Linked DNA regions of Rhinolophus ferrumequinum. The main gene of each other region encodes a partner of the protein of the gene in region 2 in a complex. Links are inferred from orthologs where the notes say so. Each region holds a gene or a part of one and is shown on either strand. Other genes may lie near its edges.

Region 1 (3,914 bases), on a different chromosome or scaffold from region 2:
AAGTCTATCTCAGGCTGTATGAAGTTGGGAGCACCTGCCTTAGAGGGAGGACTCCTGGGGCCAAATCCTGCCTGTGCCTCAGCATCTCTTGGCCTCAGTTTTCTCATCTGTAAAATGGGGATCAGTCATGTCCAGCCTGGCTCATGGCCGGGGCTTCCTGAAGCCCTGAAATCTGGTGAGGGCCTTATTTCTGGCTGGCTGATTGGAACAGCTTCCTCAGCCTCTTAACCCTTGACAACTTTGGATTTTGCTTAGGACAGCAACTATCTTTCTGCCCTCAAAGGACATTTGGGCACAGACACTCAGGGTGGGTTGCAGACATGCTCCCTGAGAGCTGGGACCCAAGTCCACCCCCAGCAACCCCAGGGTCTGCTTAAGAACCTTGGACCAAGTTCACACTCGGCCTGGGATTTGAGGCTGAGACCTGACTTGCTAACCTTTGAGGAAGGGTGGCCCTCCATGCCAGAGGACCCTGGCCACCAGAGAGAGCCCTCCTGCTTCCTGGGGTGAGCAGTATACTTGGGGATGCTCTCAGCCCTGGTCCATCTCCACCCACCTGGCTCTGGGGGAGGGTGGGGAAGGGAGCATGAGAACAAAAATTCTGCTTAGGAACGAAAATTGAATCCCAGCCTCATGGGCCTTTGGTTGCCCCTTTGTTAAATGGGGGAAATAATGACACTCTACCCGTGGGTTTGTCACATGAGGTCTGGCATTGAGATGACACATGTAAGGTGCTAGTGCAGGGCAGGGTACGGTTGGCTGTGACCTCCATGACTGGCCATCATCAAGGTCCCCATGGAAGGGGCAGGCATAGCCACAGCTTGTCAGGGCTGGATCTGGCTGGTGGGCCCTGCAGTGAACAATGGGGAGCCCTCCCCACCTGGTTCTCAGACACATAGGCCTGAGCCTCCCCCCACTGCCCCTTTAGGGCATTGGGCTGGGGACACCAGCCTTGCCTCAGTCAGTTGTCACAAACACATGAAGCATCACGTAGGAGACACCACTCCTCCTTCCCAAGGGAGGCCCAGAGGTGAGCACTCTGTCCAAAGTCACAGCCAGGACCCAAACTCAGGGCAAGCTGCCTCCAAAGGCCACACCCTTTTGCCTTTTTCTTATATTGCATTGTTTTATTTATTTATTTTTTATTTTAAGGAGGCCACAGCTCACAGTGGCCCATGCGGGGATCGAACTGGCAACTTTGGTGTTCTTAGCACCATGCTCTAACCAACTGAGCAAACCGGCCACCCCATTATATTACATTTTAAGAATCATGAAATATTTTTTAAGAGAAGCTAATTTGAGGAATCCTCCTGTGGCTGCCCCTTGTCCCTCAGACTGAATAAATCTGTCCCCTCTCACTGATTTCCACTTATGTTCTGGGAGCAGATGGGGCAGGGTGAGGGTGGAGGGAGAGGAAGGAGGCTTGCTGGCAGGACAGTCCGGCCCAGCCGCCCCAGGAGGCCCCAAGAAACCAGGCAGGGCTGGGTGGGGTGGGGAGAGAGGCTGCCACAGCCCGTGGCTCTGTGGGCCGAAATAGCACAAGGGGAAGTGGGCAGTTTTCATATGAGCAAGGTTTGCAACAAGCCGGCTGTGGGAAAGCCCTAGAGGCTGGGCTGAGTGGGCCTCAGCGTCCGAGCCTCCTGCCCAAAAGGACCTTGGAGATGATACTGCCCACTCTCCCAGCCCTTGTCATGCTGTCGCAGGCGGAAACAAAGGCCCACCAGGGCCTCAGGGCAGGCTGAGAGGTGAGGGTGGAGCGAGAGGTCCCGGCCCGAGTCTTGGAAAGGCTCCTTATGCTGGGCTGTGCTCTGGGGTCTGTTCTGTTTTCCCAAATAACCTTGGCCTTCACATAAGGCTGGCCTGAGAGGCTTCTAAATGGAGGCGTTCTCAGTGCTCAGAGGGCCTGGGCAGTCCTTGTCCTAGCACAGAGGTGGGGGCTGATGCAGGCCAGGGCCACTTGTTGACAGAGCTGGGCACCAGGATCTCCCCAGGGCCTAGAGCCTCGCGGAGCCCCAGCAGAAGGCTGGCAGGCCAGGCTGGGGAATGGGTGGGGCAGCAGGGATAGCTGCTTCCATCTGGCCTGGGCAGGACCTGGGCACGCTTGCCTGTAGAGTCTTACCCATCCTCCCATAGCCTAGTGGCCGGGATGTTAGTCCCATTTTACAGATGAAGAAACCAAGGCTCATGGCCTGGACGTAGGCAGCCACTGTCCCAGCCCCTCACCAATCTCTGGAAGTTACAGGACCACCCTGGGGGCTTCCCAGGGTTGTGCAGGCTGAACTGGAGAAGGTGAGGGCAGGAAAGTGGCCAGAGCCCCAGAAACAGGGTGGCCCTCTGAGTGTCGCAGGGCCAGTTCAGGACTGAGGCCAAAGGAGGCATTCTGACATCTTCCCACCCCACCCAACGGGTCGCCAAGTGCTCCTGCTGGGCCAGCGGGGCCACTCTAACCCCTAGGGAGTGGGCACCTCAGGACTTCTGCCCCAGGGCCAGCCTCCAGGCATTCTTGGGGAAGGCTTACCTGAGAGTCGGGGGCTCTTCACGGCAACCACCTCATCCTGAGCCCACACACCTGCCCGAGCTGACGCCAATGTTGCAAACACTGGCGGGCAGCAAGCAAGACTGCGGGCTTCCTGTCAGCCACTGAATCATCCCTCACATCCGCTGCCCTGCCGGACAGGCTGTGCTGTGAATAGGCGGAGACACACACGCACACACACACAGAGGCAGAAAGAGAAAGAACGCGACAAACAGGCACAGAGAGAACAGAAAGACAGGGACACACAAACATACACACATTAAATACACATATGTAAACACGAGTCACAGGGGGCGGAAGACACACACAGGAACAGGGAGACAATAAATGGGGGTGTTCACACGGTCACACAGAGAGGGGGGAGGAAGACATGCAGAAACACACACTTAAGAACACACACAAACACAGAAATACACACCCACGCTGTAAACCCCCCCCCCCCCCCAGTTACCCAGACACAGAGAACCAGAGAGAGAAAGAGACAGAGACCGAGAAAGAGATACGCAGGCAGGGAGAGAATGAGGAAGAGAAATACATACACGCAACATACACAGACACACAGAGGGACAGAGAGAGACAGGCAGAGGTTGAGCCTGAGATCAACCAAGAGACCAGACTCAGAGGGAGAGTGAGACACAGGAAGACAGAGATCCTCAGATGGTCAGAGACACACAGAATGAGGGGGCCAGAGACAGACAGACGCTCAGAGAGCAAGAGTCCCAAGAATGAGACACACAGTACACACACATACATAGAACGGGGGACCTGGTAGACAGGGCAGACAGACAAACGGCTCAAGACAGAGACAGCCGACAGAGGAATGACAGCCACAGGCATTGGTGGGAGCAAGACAGAAGCCAAGCTGAAGGACAGAAGGACAATCACACTCCTCCTGGGAGCTGCATCTCATCCCCCCCATTTTCCAGATGAGGCTCACGGAGGCACGGAGCAGGGTGACAGCACGAACAGTGAGGTCTCAGCCCCACTCTGACCGCTCTGTGCCTGTGGCAGCCTTTTCCCTCATTTGGGGAAGGTGCGATGTAAGGTCTGGAAGGCACAGCTCCCTGGGAGAGACAGGGAACCCCATGAGTCATGCTGGAGTACTCATGCTGCTGGCCATTAGTAACTTGACCAAGGCCATGGAACTATTAGTGGCACCCCACTCACCAGAGACCCCCAGGGAAGCCCTCGAGGGCCCCCCCCCCCCCCCCCCGACTCCGCATCAGTCTGGCACTTCAGAGCCCGGTCTCTCTAGCTCTGGTGGCCCCCCTCAGCTTGGGCCTGGCTGTGTCTTGTGGCCCCAGCGAGGGGTGGCCAAGACCTCGCGAAGCCCAGGCCCAGCCAGGGCTGGCAAAGGGGGAAGTGGAGGCAGGCGGCC
Region 2 (3,914 bases):
TGTGCCTGTTGCCACGCAGCAGCCTACCCGTCTCTCTCTTTGTACCTGCCCCTAAAGAAAGGAGAGTCTGAAACGGATCCTTTCAGGGACTTTGCTACACCTTTGTGCTTGCACCTTATGCCTCCGTTTGGCCCCAGAAAGATGGCTGGTCAGCCAATGATGAGTAGGATTCCCTACGGGGGGGGGGGGGGTGGGTGGGGGGGGGGGGGGGGAGGACAACTCAAGCCAGGCTCAGTCGAGTGGGGACCAACAGGAGAATCCACAGGGTCGATAGAGGTGAGCACAGACCCCCATCTATCCCCGGCTAAGGAAAGCCTCTGCCTCTGTGGCTGCATTCCTTCCCACAACCTGCAAGGGAAGAGATTCAGTGATGTGCTCTCCATCTCTTCATATGCATAAAGGTTTTGTCCTTTGGGGAAGTACATACATCCTGAGACTTACGGTTCTGCTGCTTGCAGGCACGGGTGATTGGCTTGAATCAGTTTCCTATTATGATGTCTAGGATTCATAGAACTTGAGATGTACAAGCTTTATCTCCTTTACTTCCCTACTTAACTAATAAAAGCTAAGGAATAGGCCAGATTGGATTTGGGCCCAGTCCTTGAGGCTGCAGTCCCTTGGCCCCGCTTACACTCTATTCATAGCTACTGTCATTTCTTAACCCTGCACCGCCCTCCTCGCTCGCAACAACCCTCCACGCGCGGGACACCACATGTGCCCTGTCACAAAAACAGCTAAGAAACGCCTCTTAACATGTAATCTCTTTATAGACCAGGTTACTCCTCAGTTATATATTCCCTAGTTTAAATACTCTGAATTCCTTCAGTAGAGACTTCACTAAACATTTTGCAGAGCCTCCCAACTTTCTGCGGCCCATTAGCTCCAAAGATGACCTTCTATATATCCTGGGCTCACCTTCCTTTCAAGGGTTCCCTGGCACTTTTCAGCCACTTGCCTAGAAATCCCACTATTTTCCATAGCTTTATCTCATAGCTTCTATTTCCAAGCACTTTATCACTGTGGCTCTCCTTTGAGACATTACTTGTGAACTCAAAACTGATTTTAGTATATTAATAAGAATATGATAAATAATGAAATGGGAAGAGAATGAATCTAACCTTTGGTGTAAGCCAGGTGTTTTACATATATTATCCCTTTAATCCTTGAAACCACTCTATTAGTAGACATTATTGTCCTTCTCTTGCTCTCTTCTCCCTGACATACGAGTACAAGTAAAAGATGCTTTGCTATGAATGCAAGTGGAAACACCAGTTAATTTCATCAGAAATATTGATGCCTATAGTTTATTCTTTCCATTTCAAAGCATGCTTTCTAAGAAAAGATACAGGAACAATCAGGTACAGGAGTCATCATTCCTTGCTCTTGAAGGTAGGGAACTTTGTGTTTTATTCATATACTCCAGAACTGAGTGTGTTGCTTGGTGCATAGGAGGTTGCTTGAATGAATACATTGAGCACCTAGTGTATCCTAGGCATTGTACCTTGGAAGGCAAGTCTATTCTCTCCATTTTATAGTTGAGGAAATTGAGTCCCAAGGACATTGAGTAACTTGTATAAGATCACAAGCTGTGAGCAGCAAAACCATCAGGTAAAACTTTTCAAGCATTTAGGGTCAGGCAGGGGGAAAAATAGAGCATATAGGATCTCCCAAAAAACATTCCAATGTAACTGATAAATATTATTAATACATGTTTAGCACCCATTACAGAATACAAATTACCATGTCTTTACTCTCAAAGATTAAATTATCTGATTATGTATGCAAGACATATGTGCTATTATAGGTATTTCAAATACACATTTTTTCCTTAATATCAATAAATCCTCAAAATATATTTTTGTTATCACTATTAAGCATGTCTTCTGGCATTTATCAAAACACTTAATTTTTTTCTAGTTTCAGTTAATATTAAAATTTCATAAAATTTGACCTAAGTTACTGATTTTTTTCTTTAGTAACAGATACTTCATGTTCATTTCTTCCATTCATTTTAATTATTTATCATTAATTATTCACAATTGCTATTTTAAAGCACTCATTTTAACTAATTATAAAGTTTTCATTTTTACATTTTAAAAATATGGAATGCTTTGTGAATTTTCTTAGAGTAAATGTGTTTATGTTGCATAGTGTACACACTACCCACAGAACATCCTAAGTATTATATTTTAAAGTCACTATCTTGAACAGTGTTTTTAGAACATATTATTATACATAATGTTAAACAGTATCAATTTTATCATTTTCAGAATTTTTTACAAACCTTTACCACTTTAAAAAATAATTTGACCATTATTTATAAACTTCAAACCACTGAGAATAGAAGCAGAAGGTTTAATTTCAATTATAATATTTTATCTTAAAGATATACTGGTATGTCATCATGAAAGCATAGTGGTAAATTGCAGAGAAAAGACAGGAAACATTTCATCTTCTAAGCCCAAATCTTCTGTAATGTTTTAATGACCTCTTTGGAAATTTAGCTTATTGATTGTTTTAACATCAGTGACAATAAGAAACTTTTTATTATATACAATGCATATATATATATATATATATATATATATATATATATATATATATAAAACATATGTTTAAGACATACATTGTATTTAAATTGTGCAAAATTGTAATAATATTTCTGAGCTAAAGGAAGAGGGTTTAATCCCAACAGAAACAAGGAGGCCCCTGTCGTATCACATCACCATGAAATAAATGTTATATGAAGACAGAAGCTTCTAGTTTAACATTATCATCTTTGACTTACCTGGTATTCTGACCGCTTGACTAATAAAAAACCTTCAAAGTATAAGGGCAGAGCAGTAATCTTTAACCTTTCTTGGAAGATCCTGCGAGGGGCTGGTTTTGGGGGCTTCTTAGCCATCATACCCTCTCGTTGGTGTGTGGTTTGGTTTCAACTGTATACAGTCTCAAACAAAATGAGATCTCCCTTGTGTTAGAGGAAAAGGCAACTGTTCAAAGAGGAAGTCCCAACTCGGTTTTAAACCACCAACAGGACACACAAAAACACACACACACTTTTTTTTCTTTTTATGAGGTAAGAAAAAACAGGCATAGACCAACTTTGAGAAAGCAATCTCTGGGTTACCTACGTGTACTTAGAATTACAGTAGCAAAATAAACAGAAGATTAACATCACCAGAGGATGAAAGGAACTGATGTGGAGATTATGTGCATTAGAGGAGACATCAAGGTCACATTTGTTTTCTTCCACCTTTTTTTTTTTTCATTGCTGTCCATTTTTATCCCCAGGAAACATGAGTTGAATTAACTCCACTAAAAATTACTGCACAGGACAATGTTATTAGGACTATTTCTGTTTAAACTTCGGGATCAAGCTTTGTTTAAATTTTTAGAAAAATGGAGTTATTTATGCCATGCCTATTTTGATAGTCCACTAAGTATAAAACACAGTTAAGAGAGAATGGAAGTTTTCACTATTTTGAGTTTGTGGGTTACCAGGGTATGTTTGGCGAAATATGTCTGGCAGAGAAAACTATACATTTTCAAACATTAATTTTGTTCTTTTATGCTTTCTGAGCTGTGGATCACTGATACTGAGATGCATAGGTGGGGGTTCCTATAGTTATTTAGTGAGATTTATAGAGCTACACTGGGGCAAAATACATGTGGGGAATTGTCCTTCAGAGACTGGATTTGGCTCAACATTATGAAAGGAATGATGGCGGGGGCGTGGGGGACATCGGAAGGGATTCTGGTTTGTTTTGCAGGGGTTCTGAGAAGTTCCACCATTTCCTATTTCACCCTCAATATTTCAGAAAAACTCTTGATTTAGTATAGGTTTGCCTGAGCATTCTCTCCAGTGAGACCAGCCTATTCTCAGAAATCAAAGCAAGCCAGAAAGTCTGATC

What was found.
Region 1: the proteins of STAP1 (region 2) and LAT2 are in contact, whole or in part, in a crystal structure (PDB 3MAZ), measured with the Homo sapiens proteins. The link is inferred for Rhinolophus ferrumequinum from reciprocal best matches to the Homo sapiens genes STAP1 and LAT2. Residues at the interface, in NP_001304698.1 of Homo sapiens: Arg184, Arg203, Pro204, Gly205, Ser206, Ser212, Ile215, Gln217, Ile219, Lys225, His226, Tyr227, Lys228, Glu239, Leu240, Glu241, Tyr255, Phe256, Glu259, Thr260, Arg261, Asn263, Leu264; in NP_054865.2 of Homo sapiens: Asn134, Ser135, Tyr136, Glu137, Asn138, Val139, Leu140, Ile141, Lys143.

The regions. Positions count from the first base shown.
Region 1 is NC_046290.1:93,769,365-93,773,278, reverse strand, and holds the start of LAT2 (linker for activation of T-cells family member 2), read right to left. Parts: upstream 2,895-3,914; 5' UTR 2,519-2,894; intron 1-2,518. UniProt on the Homo sapiens protein: Involved in FCER1 (high affinity immunoglobulin epsilon receptor)-mediated signaling in mast cells.
Region 2 is NC_046288.1:26,700,181-26,704,094, reverse strand, and holds the start of STAP1 (signal-transducing adaptor protein 1), read right to left. Parts: upstream 2,982-3,914; 5' UTR 2,909-2,981; coding exon 2,789-2,908; intron 1-2,788. UniProt on the Homo sapiens protein: In BCR signaling, appears to function as a docking protein acting downstream of TEC and participates in a positive feedback loop by increasing the activity of TEC.